7 linked regions of the Nothobranchius furzeri genome follow. The protein of the gene in region 7 purifies or fractionates together with the protein of the main gene of each other region. This does not show direct contact. Links are inferred from orthologs where the notes say so. Each region holds a gene or a part of one and is shown on either strand. Other genes may lie near its edges. The genes, in order: hadhb, ccnf, trim13, rad51, nod2, pink1 and sqstm1.

What was found.
Region 1: the proteins of sqstm1 (region 7) and hadhb purify together in Homo sapiens (affinity purification with mass spectrometry; 3 studies listed by BioGRID and IntAct, with this or other methods). This does not show direct contact. The link is inferred for Nothobranchius furzeri from reciprocal best matches to the Homo sapiens genes SQSTM1 and HADHB.
Region 2: the proteins of sqstm1 (region 7) and ccnf purify together in Homo sapiens (affinity purification with western blotting; 3 studies listed by BioGRID). This does not show direct contact. The link is inferred for Nothobranchius furzeri from reciprocal best matches to the Homo sapiens genes SQSTM1 and CCNF.
Region 3: the proteins of sqstm1 (region 7) and trim13 purify together in Homo sapiens (affinity purification with western blotting; 3 studies listed by BioGRID). This does not show direct contact. The link is inferred for Nothobranchius furzeri from reciprocal best matches to the Homo sapiens genes SQSTM1 and TRIM13.
Region 4: the proteins of sqstm1 (region 7) and rad51 purify together in Homo sapiens (affinity purification with western blotting; 3 studies listed by BioGRID). This does not show direct contact. The link is inferred for Nothobranchius furzeri from reciprocal best matches to the Homo sapiens genes SQSTM1 and RAD51.
Region 5: the proteins of sqstm1 (region 7) and nod2 purify together in Homo sapiens (affinity purification with western blotting; 4 studies listed by BioGRID and IntAct, with this or other methods). This does not show direct contact. The link is inferred for Nothobranchius furzeri from reciprocal best matches to the Homo sapiens genes SQSTM1 and NOD2.
Region 6: the proteins of sqstm1 (region 7) and pink1 purify together in Homo sapiens (affinity purification with mass spectrometry; 3 studies listed by BioGRID and IntAct, with this or other methods). This does not show direct contact. The link is inferred for Nothobranchius furzeri from reciprocal best matches to the Homo sapiens genes SQSTM1 and PINK1.

What each region holds. Positions count from the first base shown.
Region 1 is NC_091742.1:11,824,653-11,827,748, reverse strand, and holds part of hadhb (trifunctional enzyme subunit beta, mitochondrial), read left to right. Parts: coding exon 1-65; intron 66-2,766; coding exon 2,767-2,888; intron 2,889-3,091; coding exon 3,092-3,096. UniProt on the Homo sapiens protein: Mitochondrial trifunctional enzyme catalyzes the last three of the four reactions of the mitochondrial beta-oxidation pathway.
Region 2 is NC_091752.1:57,977,772-57,981,216, reverse strand, and holds the end of ccnf (cyclin-F), read right to left. Parts: intron 2,147-3,445; coding exon 2,047-2,146; intron 1,951-2,046; coding exon 1,814-1,950; intron 1,544-1,813; coding exon 1,365-1,543; intron 1,133-1,364; coding exon 684-1,132; 3' UTR 501-683; downstream 1-500. UniProt on the Homo sapiens protein: Substrate recognition component of a SCF (SKP1-CUL1-F-box protein) E3 ubiquitin-protein ligase complex which mediates the ubiquitination and subsequent proteasomal degradation of target proteins.
Region 3 is NC_091754.1:26,763,769-26,767,535, reverse strand, and holds trim13 (tripartite motif-containing 13), read right to left. Parts: upstream 2,425-3,767; 5' UTR 2,112-2,424; coding exon 2,079-2,111; exon of another isoform or gene 1,951-2,078; intron 1,882-1,950; coding exon 694-1,881; 3' UTR 501-693; downstream 1-500. Other genes in the region: spryd7b (SPRY domain-containing protein 7b), read left to right, coding at 3,308-3,413. UniProt on the Homo sapiens protein: Endoplasmic reticulum (ER) membrane anchored E3 ligase involved in the retrotranslocation and turnover of membrane and secretory proteins from the ER through a set of processes named ER-associated degradation (ERAD).
Region 4 is NC_091743.1:91,861,197-91,865,342, reverse strand, and holds the start of rad51 (DNA repair protein RAD51 homolog 1), read right to left. Parts: upstream 2,801-4,146; 5' UTR 2,724-2,800; exon of another isoform or gene 2,690-2,723; intron 2,392-2,689; 5' UTR 2,305-2,391; coding exon 2,221-2,304; intron 1,288-2,220; coding exon 1,150-1,287; intron 1-1,149.
Region 5 is NC_091749.1:70,956,527-70,960,545, reverse strand, and holds the start of nod2 (nucleotide-binding oligomerization domain-containing protein 2), read right to left. Parts: upstream 2,801-4,019; 5' UTR 2,665-2,800; coding exon 2,188-2,664; intron 1,146-2,187; coding exon 1,019-1,145; intron 1-1,018. UniProt on the Homo sapiens protein: Pattern recognition receptor (PRR) that detects bacterial peptidoglycan fragments and other danger signals and plays an important role in gastrointestinal immunity.
Region 6 is NC_091755.1:38,779,652-38,783,794, reverse strand, and holds the start of pink1 (serine/threonine-protein kinase PINK1, mitochondrial), read left to right. Parts: upstream 1-1,343; 5' UTR 1,344-1,435; coding exon 1,436-1,792; intron 1,793-2,214; coding exon 2,215-2,490; intron 2,491-2,571; coding exon 2,572-2,675; intron 2,676-2,754; coding exon 2,755-2,937; intron 2,938-3,095; coding exon 3,096-3,259; intron 3,260-3,347; coding exon 3,348-3,475; intron 3,476-4,143. UniProt on the Homo sapiens protein: Serine/threonine-protein kinase which acts as a sensor of mitochondrial damage and protects against mitochondrial dysfunction during cellular stress.
Region 7 is NC_091741.1:64,353,584-64,357,533, reverse strand, and holds the start of sqstm1 (sequestosome-1), read right to left. Parts: upstream 2,801-3,950; 5' UTR 2,570-2,800; coding exon 2,407-2,569; intron 2,245-2,406; coding exon 2,149-2,244; intron 2,078-2,148; coding exon 1,803-2,077; intron 1,686-1,802; coding exon 1,532-1,685; intron 1,423-1,531; coding exon 1,354-1,422; intron 681-1,353; coding exon 526-680; intron 450-525; coding exon 251-449; intron 167-250; coding exon 6-166; 3' UTR 1-5. UniProt on the Homo sapiens protein: Molecular adapter required for selective macroautophagy (aggrephagy) by acting as a bridge between polyubiquitinated proteins and autophagosomes.

The sequences.
Region 1 (3,096 bases), on a different chromosome or scaffold from region 7:
CACACTCGCCAAAAAGGCCCAGAGCGACGGGCTGCTGGAGGATGTGGTGTCCTTTAAAGTGCCAGGTAAGCTCTGCTTCTCACCTCAACAGTAGGGCTGTGCCATCTTACGTAGATTCTTGCTGTCTTTTTTTTCTCTTGTCATAGCTTTTTGTTTTTTTCCACTTAATTCAGCACACGTTAATTCAAGCTACCAAATACCGTTTACTCCACTACTTTATTCATGTAAGATCGAACAAATTCCCTACGTAGGCTTGAAACCTACAGGATAAACCTGGATAATGAAAGTTAACAGGTCAGTTTAGTTTTTGAACTGGGATCAGCTGAGAGTCGGCAGAGATGTGGCGCTTCTGGTCTTTAAAACACCCGACCGTTCACGTGGGGCTGTGAGGACCTTTAGGAGCGTTGCTTCAGTCGGCATAACACTTTAGTTTAGGGAACACCAATTAACCATTAATTAGCTGCTAATTAATATGCATATTAGTGGACATCTAAGTCTGAGCTAGTCATTATTAAGCACTTATAAACAGCTTATTACTAATGCCGTCATTCTAACATTAACAGGCCATAAACTAAGAGTTTTATCTAAATAAGCCATTCATAATGGTTTGTTACCTGTTTGGTAACTGGTTTGTTGCTGATTAACACACATGCTAAGTAGCTCACATCAACTGACCCTTTGCACGTGACGTCACGCCACTCATGTGACCGCCCCCTTCGCCATGCTGGACGGCAAAAAGACCGTTTACACCCGTAGAAACTCCAGTGATGGTAGTCAAAACAAGCCAGTTTGTAGCCTTGTATCGCTTTTATTTAGTTGATTTGACAGTAAAATGGTTTTAGCTTGCTGCGTGGTCGGCTGCACTAAGAGACAAGGACGTAAACTCAACTCGTTTTTTACTTTTAATAACTTTGATGGAGACTGATGACGGAGATGATGCAGCGATCAATCAAGCGGACTAGCAGGCCTCAGATTTGCAGCAAACATGTTTTTACCTGGTAAGATTAACGTTCATTTATTTCACGAGGAAGACAGGGATAAATGTGATGTGTTTATACTAGTTATTGATAATCCTGATGGATGGGTATTTCACCACGGAGGCTGCGCTCCGTCCACTGTAGTGTAAAGCGAGACAATTATTAACAATATTAAAGCTCAGATGTATGATTACGTGTGGTAAAATGATGTTATTTATTTATATGAGCGTCGGCATTCAGAGATCTTCTCATTCCGGTGTGAGAGCAGCAGCTGAACCCGGTAACACCACCAGCAACAGAAGCTGGTAGGGATCCGGACTCAGCTTTGGTGTAAAATGCTGTTTACAACATAAAGTTATAAATCCAAAGGGGTGAATTTAGGCAAAGTCAGCAACATGTTTACATCGGTGAACAGCTGCAGAGAGAACGTAAGCTAACGTTGGTAAGCTAGTTAACATACCGCTCTCTATGAGCCCCCGCTAGATGCGCTACTTCTTCTGATAACTGAACTGGGCATGAACTAGTGGAAGGAATGCTGGAGGAGTTTTGTTTTTGTTTTGATCACAAAAACAATTTCAGGCTCTACTTTTCCCTTTGTTTACTACTCGTGTCGCTCACTGTTTACATGCTTTAGCCGTCCACCATGGTGGACCCACGTGATTAGGTGACGTCGGTGCAAAGGGTCAATATGTGGCTTTTAAAGATGTAATTCAAGGGGAACATATTCTTGCCTTTAAGTGGTTAATTAATACAGAACTACTAGTAATTAGGTATGAACAAAATCTGACTTTAGAATGGGGAACATATTCTTGCTTACAAGTGGTTAGATTGTTGTTTAGGCTCTATTAACATGGAGTTTGGTGTTTATTTGCATATTACCAGAACGTAATATTTTTGGTTATTAATGCAGAATAATTATTCCCCTTCAATTACTTTGTTACAAGCCTCACATTGATGATATTGAATCAGCAACAAACCATTATGATTGGCTCATTTTGATAAAACTCTTAATTTATGGCCTGCTAATATTAGAATTACAGCGTTGGTAATAATCATCTAATAATAGCTTAATAATGACCAATTCAGACTTAGTAGTCCACTAATATGTATGTAAATTGGCAGCTAATTAATGGTTACTTTGTGTCCCCTAAACTAAAGTGTTACCAAAGCAAGTTACGTTCAAGCTAACAGGAAGCTTGTGACAGCGAGGAGACGGCGCCCACACCCTTTATCCCACCATCATGTGACCACTTTTATGTGGCCAAAGGCTCCCGGGTGCTGCCTCGGCTTTGCAGCAAAGCAACGCCGGAGATTTATGGAGAGGCCGGAGTTGCGGGAAAGTTTAGTTAATCCTTCCTCGGCTGTTTGCTAGTTAGGAGGAATAACCTCTGGCTTCTTCTCTTTATCTAACCCGGGATGGAAACGCGGAAGGTGTGTTGCTGTTGTGCTTTTAGTTTTACACAACTCTTCTTTAATCTGTCTGACGAGTAAATCTCACACTCAGTGGCTGAAACTAATAAAAAAAAAAGCTTCCGCCGTTGCGGGTTTGTTTTTTTCGCTGGTCCGTCCCGTAAAGTGTCCGGGTGGCACAAGTAACTTTTATGTTCCTACCACGCCCGACGGCTGTTTTAGCATTTATTTATAATCGGTTATGAACATTTATGAATAGATGTTTGAGTTGGCACGTGTCTCACCCCTACTGATTATTATCTTTACTGTCATTTGTTTTGTTTACAGAATGTTTAGGGGAACAAACTGTGGTTAAAAGTCTGTATGTTTGTCTCTTCAGGTCGTGATATTGTGTCTCAGGACAACGGTATCCGCCCATCGTCCATGGAGCAAATGGCCAAACTCAAACCTGCCTTCGTTAAACCTCACGGGACCGTCACTGCCGCCAACTCGTCCTTCCTGGTAAAACTCGCCTGGACTCTCGGGGTCTTTCTGCTCCGGTGTGATGGAAACTCATCAGTTAGAACTTTATTCCACCATGATCTTCTCCGCTAGAAGTCTAGATGGAGCTTTTTATGTCTCTGCTTGTCTTTCAGCTTCTTCTCTTCCGTCACGTTTGTCTGATTTTTCCTCGACTGTAAATAAATGTACGTTTATTTCATCAGACTGA
Region 2 (3,445 bases), on a different chromosome or scaffold from region 7:
GGTCACCAACAGCAGAGTGGTGCGGTTGGGACTGCTGCCGACTCAAAGTGATGCATTTCACAGCTGTGTGTGATTGGACAGAGGCCACGGGAAAGACCAATGACACCTCTGCACCTTTGGCAAACATGTAAGACAAAACAAAAGCAAGAGGGCCTCCTCTTCAGATGCAAACTTTCACCAACTAGATCACAGTAGTAGCCTTATGATGAAATTCACCAAATACAAGGTTGTCCTGTACAGACAGTGCATATCAAAGGCTTTGACGATATTAATAGTCACAAAAACTATAACAGCTTTTTTTTTTCCCTAACAACACTTTCTTTCCCACCTGAAACAGTAAATCGGTGGTTTTTATTTCTTTTACAGCTAAGTAATGTGATCTCAGCTAGGCTGTTGTAGCAGGCTGAAAAGCACCAGGCTCCCGAGCAACAATCAAGTCATATTCCAGGGGGTTTCAGAGATGACGGCGAGTTCACGGGAGCGATTTCCAACCGCTCCGCGCCTGTAATCATGGAAATGAAATGTGGTAGAACGACGAGTTTCCAAGCAATCCCTAATTGTGTTTGTTTTCCCTTTCAAGTCTTTAAAGCCAGTCTATTGATCTTCTGGCGGTTGACGAACTAAGTGAGAGACAGCTGGTGAAGACGGGTTTGAAACGGAGTGAGTCGTAAAAATATCGCCTCCTACAGGCTTAGAAACCCAGCACGGGCAGAAAACCCTTCCCTTTCCAAGTCGTCATCATCGTCTCGTTCCACTTCACCTCCACTATGAGCTGCAATGTTCTTCCTCTTCACTTGTTTGGCGAAGGTGCCTTTGGGCCTCTGCATGGGCACCAACAGGCGGAAACCTGGCTGGGCGTTAGTGGAGGCCACGCCCAGAGAGGTGGTAAAGGTCCTAAATGCAAAATGCATGAAGGAGGAGGAGGAGCATGTGGACGAGGGGCTAACGCTCTGGACGGATGAGTACCCTGAACTATGAGGGTCTGCAGACACGGAGAGGGCTTCTTCACCTTGGTGACCCTTGCTCACTTCTACTTCACAGAAGCTGTCTTCATCACTGGACAGAGCTCGGCAGTGTTCGCGTCCATCATCAGCACCAGCCAGTGAGTGCAGTTTGATGGATATCATGGAAGCTGTTGAAGAGACATTAAAAATGAGATACATAAAAACAATGCACAGCAAATTTTATTTCTCTACATTTAGTCTTCATTTATAAAGATGGACAATAAAACTGCCGAGTCAGAGAGTAGCTCATGCATTATTCTACTACTTTACATGGAGATTAGAACATTTATATTCATTGCCTGGAAGACTTTTAATAATCCCGTTGGAATAAACACTCTCAGCCTCGTTCTTGTCACTCACAATCCACATCTTTCTCTCCATCGCTTTCTTCCTCTTGATCACCCTCATAACCAGAGCTGGAAGAGTCCAGACTCCAGTCCAGGATGTCTCCCAACAGCGTCTCCTCCTGATTGGACAGCTCTGCTGTGGGCGTGGCCACCAAACTGTCCCTGTGGTCCTGAACGCTGTCATCTCGTCTCCTGCAGGGAGAACGTGGACAAGTGGAGGGTTACAGCGAGTCACAGGAGCTTCTGGCAGACGGCACAAAGAAAAACGCCTTCTGGACAAGTCGGTTCACGAGTCACTGGTGGTGCTCAGGAGACAACCAGGACCGCTAAATGAGCAAGAAACCTGGCAGGGGCAGCCGTCACTGGCCTGTTGGCGAGTCTGGTCTCGTAACAAACCTTTTCCTCCGTCCCACATCCTCCAGCACCAACACGAGGTCGCCTGTGTGTCGGCGGCTGACCTACCTCTTACTGGTGCTTGACGGGGAAGCCAGGAAGGTGTGAATGTCTGCTGGTTGACCACTGGTGGGACTGGGAGGTTCCATCTGAGGCTCAATTTCAGGAATCTCCAAGATCTGACAGAGCTCTTTAAAATCCATCACCTTAAAGAGATAAAAAAATAAAAAATCAATGAGCGTTTGGATTTGAGAACAATATAGACAGGCAGAAAAAGAATGAGGAATGTTTGATCCTTTTACCTTTTCTTTGCTGATTTGCTGGTAGGCCTCGTCTTCAAATCGCTGCACAACACCAGCCAGAGACACGTGTCTGTGATCTTTGGGAACATCTTCACTGAAACTGAGGTAGAATGGAGAAGTGGGGGAAAAAAAATAAATAAATTTTTTTTTAAAAATTGAGTTTGATCCACTTTGCTTGCTGCACAGATATAATCAAGTCTCCACGACAAATCTTGCTACTTGTCAATTTGAGAATTAGTTTGCCGACATATTGCTCGTCCGTCAAAGTGACTCACGTTTGTGTGACTCACATCGAGTGGTGCCTCCTACTGTTCTTATGATCTGTGTTTTATGCCACCTTTAAATCCCTAACGACCTTTCTTTTTAGTAACCGGACGTTCTCAGCATCTTTTTCTTAATCAATACGTGCATGCTGAAAACAGCCCGGCACATGCCCGATCAATAGCTCTCATCGGTTTTACAGAGAAAAGAGCAGTGAGAAGGTACTTGTGTGTGCGTGTGTGTGTGAGTCACAGTGCAGTCATAAAACACAACACGGAGCAGAGTGTTTTCTCAGATCTTATTTGTAGTTTTGTGGATGGAAAATATATTTTTATTACCCAATCGGTGATCAATACAAATGTGGAGAAACAAAACAATCAATAGAGGTGATGTCATATCTACAGGTCATCCAAACTGCATTTATTGGTTTTTCTATTATTATTATTTCCACTAGTGGAGTATTTGAACTAAACTCTGGTTTATGAAATGTGACTGAAATAAAAAAAAGGAAAACATGAATATTTGATTCATTCAGATGTGCGTTTGATTTAAACAGAAGGAAGTTTTATATATAACACCTTTCAAGTTCAAAATCACAAGCTCTATAAAAAATAAAGAAAGATTCAAGATAAAATAAAAACTATGGTTAAGATGGAATGAAAAAAGAAAACAAGAGAGACACAGAAATGACAGAAACAATAGTTAGTGAGCAAGAAAAGAGATGCTCCAAAAACCTGGCTTCAAGATCGACTGAATCATAAAAACGGTTTGTTTGTTGTTGTTTGGTTTTATGCAATTAAAAAAAACCGTTATTCCTGGTCTGTGAACTCACCAGTACTCCCAAGTTACAGATCCTCCCTGTGAATGTTTTTACTTCCTGACTTCATTTGGGAATAAACACTTCTTCTTCTCAGAGTTAAATCAGAACCAGCCTAAATCTGAATCAGCTGTACAAGAATTACAAACCGGTATCGGTCCACAAATTCAGAATCGGTGCTAATTCAGTTTCAAAAGGTGTGTTGTTGATGTTTTTATTTTTATTTTTTTACAAAGACTATTGCGGAGATGAGACTCAGTTATCTGATTAGTATTGGCTGTTAACAGCCCAATCACAAATTACAATGGGATTTAATGAAAT
Region 3 (3,767 bases), on a different chromosome or scaffold from region 7:
GGACTTGTGTTGTTTTTATCTTATATCTGCCCAGCAACAGAAATCTATATATGTACAGGCGCGCCATGACGCATCCTGTAATAAGGCGTGTGCTGACATCAATGATTCACTTCGTGGTCTGGTTTGGGGGCTTTTCATTCCTGTAGAGGGAAATAAAATGTTAAACATTTTTCAACAAAATTCACAGTTTTTTCGATCTGAGCTACTTTATTTAGAGAGTTCACAGAGCACTCAAACAGTTTTTAGTGTTCATTTGAAAATAAATGAGACCGCAGATGTTTATTGTGGAATAAAGCAGCATGTTATTTTGGGGGGGTTTATGAAAGCATTTTTGGAGATCTGCTCCTTTTTTCTCCCTGATGAATATTTCACACGGGCCCTGTTACATAACTAACCTTGAGGAGGTTGCAGCGTCATGGCGCATCCTGTGGGAGGCCATGAATCAACTGCGCTTCTTTACCCAGTTTGATGCTCTAAATGAAAACAGCCATAGAGGTGACTCAAATTTCTCGGGTTTATTTGTGTTCAGATATATAAAAAAAGGTACAAAAGAATACCAGATTTAGTAAAAGGTGAAGTAAATTAGTGTTGGACTGAAAAATGAGGTTGATTTTAAGGCTCGTTTGAGGCAAAAGACAGATTGTAAACACTAAATTATAAGTTTTAGATGTTATATTTAAAATGAAATGAAGATTATAATTTACATCTGTGCATAAAGTGGACAGTGCTGTCAATGAACTTGTTGACATATTCCTGACCTGCATCCACCATATCTGCGCATATCTCAGTCACTTTTCGCATGTAGGCGTCAGCGTGCAAAGAACGTTTAGTGGGAAACACTTGGATCATTGAGGTCATTTCTGTAGTGTCCAGCAGCAGCGGCAGGATGAGGAGTGACATCGGCAGCGTGATCAGGAATAAAACGATCCATCTGCGCACCGTGATCCATGCGGATCGCGTTCTGGAACCACTCTCACACGGGACTGAGATCTTGTCCACTTCACTGAGCCTGAGAGAATCCCACCTTTTCACGTCAAACTCGCTCACAAGTGGCCCGACGTCCATGTCTTTGCGTGAGGGCAGGGGAGTCTCCTTGAGGACTTTCATTTTCTCTCGGAACTCTTGCATCTGCTGCAGAAAGCACAGGGGTTCGGATGCGCTCCTGAAGGATTCGATGATGCTGAGCGCACCTCTCTGCTCCTCCAGCGCTGCGCTCAGCTTGGTGATCTCCGGGTCGTACGCCTGCATCACCACCAACTTCAGGGTTTCAAAATCGGACAGGATCTCGCTCTTTTTGCACTCGAGGGAACTGATGAGTTTATCAAAATAGTCTGCCACTTTCTCTGCGTCCTTGGTGATGGACCGGAGCGCCTTTTTCTTACTTGCTTGTAGTGTCTCCAGACAGGACAGCATGTCCGCGCTCCTCCAGCTCTTCACCTCATGCTGCAGCTCTCCAAATGCCTTCTTCTCTTGCTCATAAGCATCATCCAGGGAGCAGAATCCGTGCCCTTTATGCTCATCCGTCGTTGCGCAAAAGCCACAAATGAGCCTCAAATCAGTTGCGCAGAACATATTCAGGGGCTGGTCACAGTGTTGTTTACAAACCTTCATTTTTGGCATCACCTTTATTTTGCTGAACTTGTCAACTATTCCGCGCAGAGAATAGTTGATCTGCAGGCTATTTGCGCCGTTGTGGGGGGTTTCTTTGCGGCATGTGGGGCATTTGATGGGAATTCTGAAAGCTGGTCCCCTGATTCCTTCCAAGAGTCCATCCAGGCATTTCTTGCAGAAGCTGTGTGAGCACAGCAACACCCGCGGGTCCTCGAAGAGTCCACAGCAAACCGGACAGGTCAGCTCCTCTTCCAGCTGCTCCATGACGTCCTGTAAACACATCACCGGCGCGTCAAATACAGACCTAGACAGTCAGATTCAATAATCACTCACACTCACATGGATGCCATGCCACTTCGTAAGCCACAAAATTATTATCAAAAACACAGCAGCATCGCAAACGATACATATTTTGAATGGCAATCATGTTCCGGCTGAAGCATTTCCCTCCTGAAAGTGAAACTGACTTGCATCGCGGTGCCTGCGTAAAACCCAGGCATGAGCGCTGACAACGACTCCGTTTGCGCATTTATGGCTGAGCGACATCCTGTTTAGGGATCTGCTACCCTTTATCGCTTGGAAAGGTTTTTAGAAAGGTCAAGTCACCAAATCAGAAAATGGAAAGTCCTAAAAATGTGTTTCTCAGTAGACAGAGCTGACTGAGCCCTTAAATCAAACGACGCGTCTCCCTCGCTCTAATCCAGTGCGGTAAATTATCAACAATCAGCTCGCTCCTTGTTGGCAAGGCACCGAAAGCAGGGCTTATGACAGATTTTGCAAGCGCATAGTAACATGCAACTACTGGACCAAAAGAATCGCTCACCAGCTGCTGAGACGCTCAGTGCAACGCAATCATGGCGCTTGTTGCTGTGCAGACTTCGCCCTTTCCGGGTATGCGGTTAACCATTTCAGGCGCACATTAAAATGTGAAATATTGCGTTTCCCTTCTATTTGTGCGCACACGAGACATCCATCGTGGTGTGTGTCGATTTTCACATCGCGTATGTGTGTTTCTGATCATTTGGCAGCTTCTTTGTTGAGTACTTGAGTGTTTTCGTTTTTGGTCGCTGTAGGGTAATTCGCAGAGGATCCCTGGCAGTCGGATGGGGGAGGGGCTGTTGCTATGCAAAACGTTACAGCGTGAAAAACTGTCAAGTAGGTTATGGTTCCAGCCTGGCATCCACTTTTTTAACTTTGGACTACTTTATGTGTTAGTAATCATCAAAATATGCAACTGTGTGCACTTACAGCTGCAATAACTGGGATGATAAATAACACCAGTCAGCGCCGCGCTGAGCAAACGTAAAAGGTACTCCTCGGTTCAGCAACAGAAGCTGATCAGTGTGCTGTCATGGGCTGATTTATTACAGTTAGAACGCCAAATCTAAACTCCGATTCCCACATATTCAACTTTTAGCACATTCTGTGTTATGTAACATCAATACTCAATAGTTACTTAGTCACGTGGAAAAATGTTGACCTTGATTTTCTTCCCTTGTTTCCATGCCATCAGGAGCAACTGCCTATCTTAGCAGCTGTGATTGGATACCGTGAGGCAGCAAGGCACACTTGTAGTTCTGACTATTTCCGCTAGGAGCCGGTGTTGTATAACGGCGGATCTTTTCATGCTGTGACCGCCTGTGCTCTTTGGTTTTCTGGGTTCGTTTCCGGATGTTTGGCTAGTGTGGAAGCAAGAATGGCTGCGATGTTTACGTGTTGTTTTGGCTGCTGCGGAGAAGGCGGTTCGGGGCATGTTCCCCTCAAAGAGATGCCCACTGTTCAGTTAGACACTCATCACATGGGTAAGGAAGGTTTTATGAGCTGCAAGGACCTTATACAGACGCAGTTTGATATCTAAACGTATCTTAATAGCGCGTCAATCCCGCTGCTAAAATGAGCTAGCAAAAATGCTATTGATGTTCTTCGATTGTAGTCTTGTTGGTTTCAAATGCTTACTTTTAGCCCCACTGAGACAAAATAATATAATTAATTTGGCACAAAAGCTTACAAGATGTATTCGTTTTGTCTTTGTTAATTTTATTTTGTAGTACAATTAACGAGACGTGGTTACAGTCGAGAAAAAATAACCTCTTACAGATTTCTTCAGCTTTTGCATTTTGATTAAGATCAACACACAGATTTCAACATCAAATAAA
Region 4 (4,146 bases), on a different chromosome or scaffold from region 7:
TCATTTACTCAATAACCTCGTGTTGGTGACATCACAGAGGGGGTTAAGGTGGACCACTTCAGATGAAGCCTCTGGTTCTAAACTCCAGACAGTCATCTCTACGTCACGCGCAGGAGCCCCCATGTTTACCTGCACATATCAGGTGCAGGGATTCCCCCAGCACTTTATATATAGTCATGCCCCGCCCCCCTCCCCGACCCTACAATGTCCGCTGACACAAACGGCGCAACAAAACTAGAGCCCTCATCAGCGCTGCGGGACGGTTTGTCATGTGTGGCTTGGTGTGATGCATCTGGGTTCAAGGATGTGCATCGTAAAACAAAGCCTGTTGTTCTCAAGAGACTCGTTTATGCTTCTGCGTCATCTCCACAGGTTGGAGACGCACACGCGTGTTCGGTCTGCTGCTACACGTCTTCAGCTTGCTTTATGGTTCTGAGAGCACAATGACAATGCTGTTGACGAAAGCGGCGTCCTGACCAATCGCAAGCTTGTGTTCTTCATCTCGTTGAGAACATTTTCTTCAGAGAGTCAGTGAGTGAGAAGGGCAGAGAGGTTTTTCAATGTAACATCTGTTAGATTTTAAAGTCCAGACTCTTTCCCTCTGGGATTAATAAAGTATTTTTCAATTGAATTAACAACACGCTTCTGATATAGTTTTATAACGTAGCCTAGGGATGTAAGGAAATATCGATATGGCAATATAGCTTGATATTTTTTCTAGTGATATTACATCCATATTCAAAAGCTGTGAGTCTAATTTTTGAAAGAATTTACATGCAAACTTGTGTATTTGCTTTTATTTTGGTGCGATGCAAACGCTGACCGCTAGATGGCAGCAGTGTGCAATGGGTTTCCTATCCACCATTGAAATGTAAATCTCTATTATGGTTCAGATACCTCATGTTAAACATGTTATGTATCAGTTTGGACTGTTTATTGAATTTTCCTACAATAAATTCAGTCAAAAATAAATAAATAAATAAAAATCGCTAATGTCCTGAATGTATCGTGATACATATTGCATCACCATAATTTCACCAATTTAATTTCACCCTAGTGTTTAGTGTTAAATAGGTGGTGTTGCTGCCATGGATCTCTTCTCTCCTAGAAGCATATTAATGTCTCAGAGAATAAAAATATGCTCCTTACTAAGATTTTGTCTGCTTTGGCCTCGCTGATGCCCTTGATGTTCAGCAGCTCCTTCTTCGGTGCATAAGCCACAGCTTCGATGGTGTGGAAACCTGCGTCCTCCAGCTTCTTGATGTCACTGGCACTTACGCCACATTGCTGCATGAAAAGACAAGGACCAGTCTAGTATCATTCCACTGAGTCAGGAAAACCAGAGCCCTGTACAGACATCACTGACCGAACCGACCTAAAGGAGCACAAACGCTGTTCCACATCCACAGTAGCAGGTAATCAGTGATCCCCTCTCAGAAACTACTGGAGCTGCTGAACTGGATCATAGACTAAAACCATAACAGGGTTCTTATAGTGACAAGCTCTCAGGTGAAACAGCGCTCAGCTTTTGAATAAACCAAAAATAATAATAATGATCATTTTGAGCTTAGAGGATAAAACAAGACAACATACAGCTAAGATCTTTGTAGGGAGACTCTGTAAAAGGTTCTGACCAATCACTGCCTGGCTCTTTGAGCCGACTCGGTTTAGAGAAACAGATTAGTCCTGACCAGATTGATGAGCTAACAGCTAGTCCAAACAGGACAAAGACCAAAGTGGATCACTGCCGTCATCAAACAGCTCCGTTTTGTCTGAGATAAAAGCACACACAATACGATACTGAAGGGTCCTGAATAAGAAGTTAATGTGAGCTGCAGATTTTAGTTCCAGCTGAGAAATGACCACCGTCAACAGAACCTCTTCTGCTTTTAAAGAGAAGACAAAACTCTTCGCTGGTGTGTGAGAGCGGTTCTGGGGTCATGTTCGTGTAGGTAGCACCTGGCAGCTGGTATCTGAGAGGTTACTACTGTCTGATACGTGTCCTGTAGGACTGCATTTACAATTCAGATTGGACACAAAGGAGACTTCTTGTCCTAGAGTGAAGCTGACAGCTTCACCTTTAATGTGCTTTGGTGCATTCACATTTACGTTTACTTCACGTGAATCATAGGAAAAACCTGTAAAACATCCATAAAACAAGTCAAAGTTCGAGTGAAAGAAGACCAGAATAACTCAGAGGGAACAAGTCAGGAAACGAACCTCCAGTCTGCTCAGAGGCTGTGGGCCGAAGTTCTCCTCCTCCTCCACCTCTGCCTCCACTGCTGTTTCGCTCCTCATCGCCATGGCAGCTGGATCAGGCAGACAGGAGGGACGCAGACGGTGAAACAGAGCACAACTCTGTGTGGTGGAGCTCAGAGTGTTTTAACAACGCTGTAAAACACAAGAACACAGAGCCAACGTTCAAAGATTGTGATTGAAATCAAAGCTAAAATATAAAACTGCCATCATCTTCAGTTACAGATGTCCACCTCCTGAAAAGAGGTTTCCTGGCAGTTTTACGCAGGCAGCCAGCTAGCTTAGCATTAGCACTGTCGCTGCATCTGAAGTGGCGTTAATGTCTGTAAACTGCTGACAAACCTGCTCAGACCAGAGATAAGTCTGATTAAAACTCACGCTGCGGTCTCGTAAGCTCGTACACATGATACTAGACAGCCTTTTACTAACGTACCTGCTCGATAATGCCGTACTAGCTAACGTTTTACCTGCTTCTTTCTTCTTCTTGTTTTTATCTCGCTTCTCTCAAAGGTCCCGCGCGCACAACAACGCGATGACGTTTAACGTACAGTTCGCTTGCGTGAAACAGGATATCTCTTTTCCCGTCAAAATAAAAGCATATAGAGCTTTTTTCTTCTTTTTTTATAATCTATGAATTATTATAATATTATTATACTATAATATTATCTATTATCTATTATTATTATCTATTATTATTATTATTATTATTATTATTATTATTATTTATAATAATGTGATTTCTATAAAAGCAATTTAGCTATCTAAAATGCAGTCATCGATGCATAGAATAGCAGACAGTTTTTAGAACATAATGTTAAATCTACACCAAGGTAAAAGTAAGAGTATGTTGCTGTTGCTTTTATTAGTTATCATAAAAAGATAAACCATTTGGCACTGCACAAGACTATGAATCTGTTAATCCATCACATGATTGTACTGAGGTCTGCAGGTGGACAAAGGGCAGTGGTGAGTGGGGGGTATACAGATCTTAGTGCTCCAGCGTCCAGCATTCACAGAACATTACCAGGATATAAACAATGCCACCAGCAGAAACAAAAGGATGACAGCAGCCAGCTGTTTCTCCTAAATGAAAAGCAGGATTTATTCTGTAAAATAATCCTCAGTTGAGAAACAAATACAAAAGAAAATTCCTTTATTGTCCCCAGAGGGAAAATTTAGGTGTCCGTTCATCTATCTATTTTCAGCTGCTTATCTGGAGTTGGATCATGGGGGCAGCAGCCCAAGCTGAGAGGCCCAGACTTCTCTCTCTGCAGCTACATGGGCCAACTCCTCCGGGGAAACCCAAGGCATTCCCTGGCCAGCTGGGAGACATAGTCCCTCCAGCGTGACCTGGGACTTGGGTCTCCTCCCAGTTGGAAGTGCCCAGAAATGCAGGGAGGGGTCCAGGAGCATTCTGACCAGATGTCTGAGGCCCTGTCCACACGTAGCCGGGGATCTGCCAAAACGTAGATATTTTTCTACGTTTTGGCCTGTCATCCACACGAAAACGCATCTTTTTAAAAACTCCGGCCAAAGTGAAGATCTGCGTTTTCTCCGTTTTGGGTGTCTGCGTGTGGACAGACAAAACCGGAGTTTTAAGGTCCGCAACGTCACTTTCCGCGACAAAAAAATGCTGACATCACGTGTGCGACCTGTGTTTACACTAGCCGACAGCATGGATGCCCTCAGAGCTGCGCTCGCTTTATCAATTGTCCAAGCGCTTTTTGCTTGTTTGTTTTTGCAAGAGGAATTACTGCTGCTTGCGGAAGACCACAGACGAAGGACGAGGTTACGAACGGCTATTGCCCGGCACCTGGCTTCTTCACGTCCAAGGCAGGTTTTTCGGCAAAGACACCGACGCAGGTTCTGGGTCAGACCGGGAAGGACTGC
Region 5 (4,019 bases), on a different chromosome or scaffold from region 7:
ACTGTTCTACTAGTCAATAGCTAATATTTGGGGCAGCTGTAGCTCAGGTGGTAGAGCGGGTTGCCTCATGATCGGAGGGTCGTGGGTTCGATTCCAGCTCCCGCCAGGGGAATCCTGCTGTTGTGTCCTTGGGCAAGACACTTCACCCAACATGCCTGTGTTAGTGGTGGTCAGAGGGGCCGACGGCGCCAAATGGCAGCCTCGCCTCTGTCAGACCTCCCCAGGGCGGCTGTGGCTACAAGTAGCTTACCATCACTAGCAGTGTGTGAATGTGAGAGTGTGTGAAAGCGTCTTTGGGTGTCTAGAAAAGAGCTATTTAAGTTCAATGCATTATTATTAATATTTAAATTTAGCCTTTATCAATTATCAATTATATCAATTATAATAAAAATAATTTTCCTGTTTACCAAAGTTCTGGATCATCCTTAATTTCCAAACTCATTGAACAACGAGGTCCTGAGAACCAGAGCTGTAGGATGTAAATGGTAAATGGTAAATGGCCCGTATTTGATATAGCGCCTTCTAGAGTCCTGGAACCCCCCAAGGCGCTTTACAACACAATCAGTCATTCACCCATTCACACACACATTCACACACTGGTGGGGATGAGCTACAATGTAGCCACAGCTGCCCTGGGGCGCACTGACAGAGGCGAGGCTGCCGAGCACTGGCGCCACCAGTCCCTCCGACCACCACCAGCAGGCAACGTGGGTTAAGTGTCTTGCCCAAGGACACAACGACAGCGACAGACTGAGCGGGACTCGAACCTGCAACCTTCCGATTACGGGGCGAGCACTTAACTCCTGTGCCACCATGTAACCCTATTTCTCCCCACTGAGGCTGTTCAGGAACCTCTTTAGCTAATATTTGTACATTTCTACACTTCAGAATAAATAAAATATGAATCAATGGACAAATCAACCAACATATCGGTCTGGTGGACCAATACCTTTAATAGTTTTAGAGTATTTTGGTGCTGAGGTGGACTGGCAGACTTTTGACCCGGAAGACACGATACCTTTAGGGATTTCCAGTTCCCTCTGGTTCTGCTGGGATCCAGATTCCTGTCTTCGCTGGATGAACTGAAGAAGAGCTGACGCCGCAGACTCCCCTTTGGATCCGACGTGATCGAGCAAACGCCGGGCCTGGTTGGGTTTGAACGAGAACAAATTTACCCGAGGCCGAAAGCAGCAGTTCCACTTTTTAAATTCACATTTTAGAGGAGATAACTGCACAGGAAACGGCTCGGCGCACCCGATTAGAGCTTCAGACAGGAAGCTGTGGAGGAAACGAGGTGATGTGCAGAAGTAAAACCCTAATTTAGCAGTCGCTGTACTAAAATCTCCTCTATCCTTCAGTCACATGTCTGACCCGTCTGCGGGTTTATGGCTTTTTACACCAAAGCTTTCCAGATAAATCACTTCATACCTAAAAAAAACGGGTCAGAATGAATGTTAAAAAGAAGCCACAGGCTCAGGATCAGAGGGAGAACCCTAATTTCCATCAGACCCAGATGGAACAACCCCAGGGACCTGCTGGAGATGTGGACGTTCTCGTCCACGCAGAGCTCTAAAGCTCCAAACTAGCATCTTAGAGTGGACTAAACAGGAAGTTGGTACAGCCCAAATAAGGACATGATGACATAAGGGTGAAACTATGTTTCACAAAACAAGTTTTCAAATCCCTTCAAAAGAAGCTGCCTGACACCACAAAGAAGGCTAAAAGATCTCAAAAAGCCAACATCATGACCTGTTCTAGAAATCCAAGAACATAAGAACCCAGAACAACATTTAAACCCTTTTGGGGATTCTTGACGACTGGTTGTAACTGATGGAATCATGAATTTGGTTCTCTGGTATCCTGCTGATGGACATTTGACCTTTGATGTCTGCGTCAATCAGCGATTCCCTTATTATGACATCACAAACAGGGACTTTTTCAAACCGTTTATATTTCGCAAATACTCCCTGAAGCCAAACCCCGACAGATGGACGGGCACTTTCAGGTTTGGAGTGTTTATAGGTGGTGGCACAAAGGTGAGTTTAGTCATATTACGATATGTCCTACTTATATGAATCCAGTCGTCTTGGAAACCGTATTCTGCACCAGCTACCTCCGTCAATCAAAAACAGTAAGTGACAAAAGAGCACAAAATGGAGGAGATGTGTTTACAAATGCCTTTTTTACCTGTTGAGACGGGGTGTGAACAGGCAGCAGGACCTCATCTCGTTCCTCTGAGGAAAAGTGACCTGATTCCAGGAGAGCTTCCAGAGCACCATCCACACAGTCCTGAAGCTTGCAGACCAAACTCAGCCGTTGTATTAGAACTGTCTCTGCAGACGTCTTCTGAACTCTGTCCTCTAAAGGTGGGGGACATCCTGAGGACAGGCCAACTCTTTGGCCTTCTGGAAAGACCTGATTGACAGCAGCGAAGAAGATTCTGCAGGCTTCCTCACCTTTTGTATAAAGCAGGTCGAGCAGCTGCCTGGCGTTGGTGTGCAGGGCCCTCCCCGGGACTTGAATGCTCTGGTAGTCCTCCCATCCCAGCTCCCCCTGAGCCAGCAGCACGTCCAGAACCCTTTCCAGGTGCTCAGCTGAGCCGCTCCTGCAGAGGGCGTGGAGAACCTCTGAACGCTGTTTCAGCAGCAGCTCCTGAGCAAGCATGCTTCAGTCTTATCAGCTCCCATGCTTCAATCCTTCAGCTTCACATCTGGTACCAACCAGTCCATCAGGAAAGCACAGAAATCAGATTTCCTCTAGTGTCCCCCTTCAACAGACTAGAAGACTCGCTCTCACCTGTAAACACAAAGCGACTGACTGCCTTCTCTCCAGCCCTCATCAACCCAAAAGGACCGTTCAACCACCTCTTCCTCATTCCTCGTCTAAAAACCGAAACCTGGTCTGTTTGCCAAGCAGCTCCAGTGGAGCAGAAAGTAAACAATGGCTGAACTACCATAAAGCTTAAGCATCCTCATGAATTTGATTTGACAGGATATTGTTTAAAATGTTTAAACAAACCAACACTAATGTGTTTCAGGGAAATCAAAAGTAAAACACAGATCTAAACCACTTGTAACTTGGTGTTGGAGCCACTAGATGGCGGTGTTCCACAACAAAAACCAAACCAGGAGGCTCGAGCTCATCTGCTTGTGGGGACTTGATAAACCTACATCTCATCCTGGCCATGTGCAACACAGAGGTAGGTCCTTTAACCCTTTCTGCTCCTCTGGCTTGTTGGTTTTTTTTAACGTTGGCAGTCAGACTAATGGTGGGGAGAATTTGGTCATCGCTGGATGCCAAATCTACGCCCCTGTGGGCTCATTTGTCATCTTAAAGTGCGGTTATTACATTTTACTTATCTTCAATTTTGCCCCTAAAACTATCTAATAATAAGTTAACATATCATTTAAAACATGTATTTATCTGATTTAAAAAGTGGATAAATTAAATCAGCCGTTGTGGTCAAACATTTACTCAGTTTTTCACTAGCTTTATTTTTTTACTCAATTGTTTTTTACTTGTATTTTTATGTTATTTTATTTATTTGAGTAGTTTGTACATTAAAGGTTGAATATGGAGCAATTTCATAAAAAGCTATACATTGTTTTAATAATACCTCCACGGGGCGTTTAGAGGTGTGCAGAATGAAGATACAATATTTCCTTTAAAAGCTATATTTTAATTAAAAATATAAGTGCTCTGTTATAGTAAATGGCCTGTATTTGATATAGCACCTTCTAGATTCCTGGAACCCCCCAAGGTGCTTTAAAACACAATCAGTTATTCACCCATTCACACACACATTCACACACTGGTGTTGATGAGCTACATTGTAGCCACAGCTGCCCTGGGGCGCACTGACAGAGGTGAGTCTGTTGTACGTAGGCGCCACCGGTCCCTCCGAACACCACCAGCAGGCAAGGTGGGTTAAGTGTCTTGCCCAAGGAGACAACGACCGCGACAGACTGAGCGGGGCTCGAACCTGCAACCTTCCATTTACAGAGCAAGCACTTAACTCC
Region 6 (4,143 bases), on a different chromosome or scaffold from region 7:
GACATTTTAGCTGTCCAGATTTTTATACAATGTTCACATATTTCAGTTTTTTGCTATTTAGGATGATTTTTCTCCATTCTTCACTAACTTTTTCTCTTCAAATTATTCTGGTGAGTGCTGGTGCTGCTGTAACAAGTGAATTTCCCCACTGTGGGATCAATAAAGTCTATTCTATTCTATTCTATTAAGTTTATTTATATAGCGCCAAATCACGACAAGAGTCGTCTCAAGGCACTTCACATAATAAACATCCCAATTCAGGTCTGTTCATTGAGCCAATCAGAAAAAATGTTTCCTATATAAGGAACTCAGCAAATTGCATCGAGTCACTGACTAGTGTCAGAGTCTTTACAGCAATCCTCATACTAAGCAAGCATAAAGCGACAGTGGAGAGGAAAACTCCCTTTTAACAGGAAGAAACCTCCAGAGAATCCTGGCTCAGTATAAGCAGCCATCCTCCACGACTCACGAGATAGATAGATAGATAGATAGATAGATAGATAGATAGATAGATAGATAGATAGATAGATAGATAGATAGATAGATAGATAGATAGATAGTAGGCCTACTTGTCTTGCATTAAGTTATTTACCTGAAATGTTGAAGGAATAAACCAACCGTACATAACATAAATGAACTAAGTCTAAAGTCAAATCGATAATGTGGCTCTATGCAGGTGGGTAGTTGGCAGAGGTATGGACTTGAGTAACATGACTTGGACTCGAGTCAGACTTGAGTATTTATTTTAATGACTTCTGATTTGACTTGATAAAACCTATAAAGACTTACAACTTGACTCGGACTTGAACACCAGTGAATTGCTACTTGAATCGACTTGCATCTGTTGACTTGATGATGACTTGAGCATATTTGATATTCAGCACAAAAGTGGCACGACACGGACGAAAATCATAAATGATTCTTTGTTCTGGGTTTGATCTTGTTCTGCCAACTGCAGCAGCACTTTGTTTATAATCAGTTTCAGTTGCACTTTCTGCTTATTTGAGCAAATAAATTCAGTTTTAAGAAGTTTTATTTCTGGAATTTATTTATTATCATTGTCATTAAATTGAAGTTGGACAGATGACTTGATTATGACTTGAAAATTCAAAGTTTAGGACTTGGACTTCCACATCATTGACTTTGGGCTCGACTTGAACTTGGTTGTCTTTGACTTGGACTTGACTGGAAAGACTTGTGACTTACTTGTGACTTGAAAAGCAGTGACTTGGTCACACCTAGTCTGGTAGTTGGACATGTGGTAGAAATGGCTCTTTGGGTTGTAATCACACATGTCGTGTGACGCTCTTGACGCTTGATGTCGCCAGAGGATCTTAGAATCTTCTGCGCATGCTCCACAGCTGTTGTTTACTAACAAGATAAGCTAGCGGAAGTGAGCTTTCCAAGCCTCTTGAGGCACATTTTTGTGTTCACAATGTCTGTGAAGCACGCCATTAGCCGGGGGCTGGAGTTGGGACGCTCCTTCCTTCAGCTGGGTCTTCTTAAATCCCGTGGCCGAGTCGCAGCGAAGCTCCTAGCTGAGCGTTTCCGTGCAGGCCCGTCGGTCCGCACCGTTCAGCCTCAGGCTTTCCTGCCGTCCCGGTACCGGTATTACCGCACCTCCCTGAAGGGGCTGGCAGCCCAGCTTCAGTACGCCGGCTTCAGGAGGAGGTTAACCGGCGGCTCGCCTCGTAACAGGGCCCTGTTTTTGGCTTTCGGTCTCGGCGTGGGTCTCGTCGAGCAACAGCTTGAAGATGACAGACGGAGTGCGACAGCCTGTCAGGAGATCCAGGTGAGGTTCTCTCGAAACGCAAACTTGCAGTCATGGCCAAATATTAATGATTCAAACAGAAGTTGAAACGAGAAGAGTTTGAGAATTTCTCTGGAAACCACAGTGAACCAGCATGATGGTGGCCTCCTGAGCAGCAACAGTGGGCTGCTAGAACATGAGCAGGATGTCGAGGAAAGCTGTGAGCTCATTTGTGGAGGAGTGGAAGAGCCATGACTGCGGGGTTGGTGTGGTCCTGTTCTCAGCATTGAATGCAAAGAACCATCACATCTTCAAATGCATTGTTGTTTATGTGTCAGATAAATACACTCGGCTTGTAGTGGGGGACCCAGACAGAGCCTTGGGGAACACCCAAAGAGCAGATCAGATGGAAACGCTGAGTTTGAAGAGTAGGTTCTGAACCAATTCTTTCTCCCAAACTGCAGGCAGTGTTCAGAAAGAAAACGTTCCAGAGCCCTCTCATACCGTTCAGCTCTGGATACAAGCTGGAAGACTACATCATTGGAAACCAGATTGGTAAAGGTTCAAATGCAGCTGTGTACGAAGCGGCACCTCAGTTTTTTAACTCAAAGGAAAGCAATGGAGAGCACTCGCTGGAACAGGTCAGAGAAGACAAAGAGGATGTCCAGATGGTGAGATCTCCAACGTGCTGCTCTCTGATGAACTTCCCCCTGGCTATCAAGATGTTGTGGAACTTTGGGGTGAGTCATTCAGGTCCAAAGAAAAAGGAAACTTAAAAAAAAACATAAAAACGACTTCTTTTAAATGTCATTTGTTTGCAGGCAGGGTCTTCGAGTGAGGCGATATTAAAATCTATGTCACAGGAGCTGGTTCCTTCTGGTCCTCTTGCATTTAAGCCAGAAGAGGAAGAGATCACCCTGGATGGGTAGATGTTTACACATTCTGCAGTGTAGTGCAGATCTGAGGACGATAGTCATGCTTATGTTTGATCTCTCTACATGCAGATATTTTGGAGTCGTCCCTAAAAGGGTCTCTGCTCACCCTAATGTGATCAGAGTTCACCGGGCGTTCACTGCAGATGTGCCGTTGCTTCCAGGAGCTCAGGAAGAGTATCCAGATGTGCTTCCAGCCAGACTCAACCCCGCAGGCCTGGGCAACAACCGCACTCTTTTTGTGGTCATGAAGAAGTGAGACCCGATTCCTAAATGTGAAATAGTTTGTGAACAGACTTTTGGGGAAAGAAGAAGGCCAGCAGATGCATTCAAGTGGATCATTCTGGTCATTTTTCACTTTTTGCTGTGCAGGTCATCCTCAGATACATAAGTGTTGTTTTTTGCTTCCATAGTTATCCCTGCACACTGCGACAGTACCTGCAGGTGACCAAGCCCAGCTGCAGGCAGAGATCCCTGATGGTACTGCAGCTCCTGGAGGGGGTGGATCATCTGTGCCAGCAGGGCGTCGCCCATCGGGATCTCAAGTCAGACAACGTGCTGCTGGAGTTTGACTCGGGTCGGATTTAAAAACACGAAGCTTCCATTAGACGCCATGTTTCTATCTGTTGCACTAAAATGATTTTGTTTGGGTTTTATTCTTCTAGGTGGTTGTCCTCGTTTAGTGATTACTGACTTTGGCTGCTGTTTGGCTCAGAGTGGCTCCAGCCTACAGCTTCCCTTCAGCAGCCTGTGTGTCAGCAGAGGAGGAAACATCTCGCTCATGGCTCCTGAGGTACGCTTCACCTCTTCTTTATCAGGATCAGAGCCAGCTTTAGCTGTTTAGTTCCTAAGGTCAGATCAGCAAACAGAAAAATGTCTCCAACTTTACTGGTTTGATTATATTGAGCTGAGAATTACTCACAAAACTTACTGGCTCAAGGGCTTGGGATCTGTTGGAAAAGTTCTTGATTAACGTGGAAACACGTGAAATTAGTATGAGTAGAAAACAGCACAGGCTAGTTAGGAATTAAGATTTTAATTGAAACGATGCTTATTTTCTTTAAACTTTAGTTTTCATTAAAGGGACTTTACGGCGTTTTGAATTTTTATGCTCGCGATTGCCCCCTCAGGCCAAAAGCATAACGGCAGCTTCAATAGTAGGCTCGTGCACGCATGCTGTACGTGCACACTCCTTAATGAAAATAACAGCTGAGACAGTCCCGTGTGTGTGTGTGTGTGTGTGTGTGTGTAGCCGGGAGGACAGGAGAACGCACAGCTAATTAATTAAATAATTTGGTTCTGTACCTTTCTCTTCAGCACAGCCGACAAAGGTTTATGATGGGTCAGTCCTCCTGCATGCTCAGATCATTCCCTTCCCTTGCTTGAAAAATTGTTCCAAAATGAAAGTTGAACCCACATCTTTTTTATCTGTGAATTCAATGCCGTTCGCCAAGTCTCAAA
Region 7 (3,950 bases):
TGATGTCACTGGCGTGGGTGGGACTGCTTGGCGTACTGGATGGCATCGAGTGCAGCTCCAATCTCGAAGTTTTTAGCCTGAAGGAGCCGAGTCAACCAGCCGCCTTCATCTGTAAAACCCATCGAGAGCATTGACGCCAGCGACTCCACCAGGCGGGGGTCAGCCTCTGTGGGGGACAAAGGGGAGGGGCTTAATAGGGACAGGACTACCAAAAAAAAAAAAAAACTTGAACCGCAGAATCTGAACTCACCTTGAGGCAGGTGTGGATAAAGAGCTGCCTCCCGCAGACCTGTGGGTCCCTCCTCGGTCCCTGACAGAGGAGCTGGACCTGGACCTGGACTTGGACTTGGGCCTGAGCCCTGGCCCTCCAGCGACTGAAGCTCACCTGTAGATGGATCAACCTCTTTAGAGCTGAGATGAGTCCACTCATCATCTTCATCTCGGCCCACCTGCAGATTTGTGTATTTGGTCAGTAATTGTCATTAATTAGACTGATCTATTAGTTTTTGTCTGAGGAAGACTGACCTTTGGCCCCTGCTTTGCTCCACCTTCATTGCTGGCTCCACTTTCGCCAGCTCCCACATCCATCTGCACTTCACCCTGCTCTTCCTCACCTTGAGTAGGTGAAGTCACCTTCATCCTTTGCCCCTCATGCTCCACGTCGATGTCCACATCAATACCTGCACATGCACAGATAAAGTCCCTACTTCATCAGGATTCTGTTGTCAGGAAGTTTAATAGAAACGGTTAAATGTGATATTCTGATCTTTCTGAAGGGATGGTCAATAGGTCATATATCTACAGTACAGACACTGCCTGCAGGTGACATCACCGAAGGTGAAACAAAGTGCTCCTCTGAACAGAGGCTAACTAGTCAGCTTGGTAATGAAATAATACATCGTTTCTGGTGTTTAAAAACAACCCATAGTGACGCGTTAGCACGCTATATTAGCAGTTTTTAAAGCCCTACAATTTTACATGAGATTGTTTCTTTAGTTTATGCTGTTTGTTTTATTCTAATAACGTTTGAAATACTATGCTACTGCTACTGCCTGTGTGCCATTGGGTTTTCACTCTGCCCAAGTGGAGCAGCCAATTAGGAAAAGCAGGACATTGAGGTTTTTCTTCTGGCTAATCCTGGAAATTAGCTTCTAATGTCACAGATCCAGCTAGCCAAAAGTAATGCTCTGGTCAGAGGACTTCCTATTCCTAGAAACAGTAGTTTGGAATCTAAATTGACAGAACAGCACTTTAAAATGACTTTAAATGTCTGAATGACACTCGTGTGCGTATTAGGATGAGTTCCCTCTTGTTTATTGCACATTAAAAACATCTCCAGGTAAAACAACTCACCTAGTGGGCTCAGCATGGCAGCCACGCCCTCGCCAATGTTCTTCAAATAGTTCACGCTGACCTGAGAAGCTACAGAGGTCAGAGGTCAGTCTCTGTTATTGGACAATGGCTCTGAGTTGGACTCCTTTTGACTGATGACCAGTTTGTACATAAACACAGATCTGTTCACATCACCTACCAGAGGAGGTGCTGCAGTCAGATGCTGAGCTGGAGGGAATGGTTTGCTCCTGCTTCTGGTTCTGGTCCTGGTTTTGGGTCTGTGCCTGGGCCATGTGCTGGTTCCACGTGCAGTGTTTCATCTTTTTCATCCATTTTCCTCGAGGAAACCACTGCTAAATAAAATTTTAAGAAAACCACCGATTTATCACATTTTAATCAGGAAATGTGACTTGTTCTGACACCTGCCAGTGGTGACCTGAGCTCTGACACCTGTCATCCAGGTTACTCACCTGTAGAGGGTGCCACACGGGCAGCAGAGGGTGCTCAGTGTGGGTCCCTCGAGCCTGGCAGGTGGAGCAAAGGTCGTAGTCTGGACACACTGAACACTTGAAGCGCGTTCCGACCACAGGGCCCTCACAGCCGTCACAGGTGACGTTGGGATGGACGGCAGGGGGCGGGCCCGGGTGAGGAGGTGGGGCATGAGGAGGTCCATGTTGATGAGGGAGCCCGAAAGCGAAAGGGGGGAATGCATGAAGAGGGAAGTCCCGGCGGTGCTCCTTCTTTTCTGCAAGAGTTCAACAAAACTTTAGTCAGATGGAACCTTACAAAGAAATAACAGGAAGACGACTTGTTTACCTTTAATGAAGAGGCGAAAGGTGGCGTCCTTGACAAAACCCAGTCCCATCATCAGCTCATCATCAGAGGAGAAGGCCACCAGGTCTCCATCTTCATCTAAAACACCATAACTCAAACATCAAGTCCAAGCACAGATCAGGTGGCACCAAACATCATTCATCAGAATATTAAAAACAATCCAGAACCAGAAAGACACGCAGCAGAAATCCAGTCAGTGTTTGGGTTGAAACAGAACCAGCTCTGATATAAGCGCCTCACCCTTGTAGAATAGGTTGAAGTTGCTCAGGTTGGAGAAAGCTGCCGCCACCTTCCTGCTCAGGTACTCGAAGCTGCAAGAGACGTCCTGGTCCACCGCAAACCTGCGGATCTCCTTCACCTGCTCGTCCTTTCCCAGCAAGTAGGCTTTCACCGTCACCGACATTACGAACTCAATCGAACCAAACTCCGAACAGAGACAGAAAAACAACCAAACGGAGAACCAAACTCTAGAACTTTGTGACGCAGCGGTAAATTTCAGCCTCTTTTATGTTTACTTCCGCATTCTATGTCATCGTCTTAAGATGACGTAAAGACGCACACAGCCTCCCATTGGTCCTCATTGAGCTCCGCTAATGAGGGACCATTGCCGTCTAGAAACATCTTTTTACACAGCACGGTGAGGGACTTTCCAACTAGTCACGTGAGCAGGTGTTAGTTGGGAAAGCCGCTTAGTCATTGTGACGTGGCACATTGTTTTATTTGTTAGAAAAGTGATTGATTTGTAGTTTATTAATAAAAAAATATGAAAATCCTAAATGAGTGGATCCAGCTGAGAACGCAACTGCAGGTCTAGAAATCCAGCAGAGAAACATAAACATGCATGTTTGTGTGTGTTTTAACTGAGCTTTGGTTTCAACCCCGACATGCTTTTTCTGTTAATTATCTGCTGAAGATAACCCCAGTCCGTAATTACTACAACAGAGTCAAGAACCCATACACACTTTTACAGAATTAATCTACAGCTAAAACGAAAGCAATCTGCAAATCCTGCTCTAATCAGTCCAGATTCAAGCTGATTTTCTGCTGTCCAGTTGTAAACAATTAGATGGGATATGAAATGTAAAACATAAGTCAAACTCTCAGTATTCCTCAAACACCTGAGTCATCCTTGCATCACTCTTTTCAAATGTCTCATGAGCTTCTGTTTTGATCAAATGTTTGTTTGCATCTGTGATGTCACCCAGCCGCTGCAGCCAATCAGCAGCAGCATGAGTCATATGACTTGCTGACTCAGAATCACAAGATGAAGCTGAAAACCACCCAAACCTCTCATTTAAAGCCTTTAAAGGTCAATGTAGTGAAAGTCACTGCATTTGAAACTGTTATTCAGTTTTGTCAGCTTGACTAAAAACAATTTATAGAATCAAAGATTTTTAATGGAAGAATTAGCTAAATATTTTCTGACTACATTGTATAAAGAGCTCTGATTACATAATCAGGTTTCAACAACCTTAAGGTAAAATTAATTTAACATTTAATTTCAATTATTTAATTGTAATCATTTGTTTTTATTGCTTTGGTCCAATGATAAACATGCATGCTTGGATTTCTTTTTGTTCTTAAAACAAAGTTAAACAATCCCAGAATGCATCAGTGCTCTCAGCATCCTGGAGCTAGAGTGAGGTTCTTCCAGTGAGACTGATTAATAGCCAAATGAATCCACTTTTAAACCAGGTAACTGAATGAATTACAGACATTGAGACAAATATTTATTTAAACCAGTTAACACCTTGCACCAGAATCAGGTCCATAAGGTTTTACAT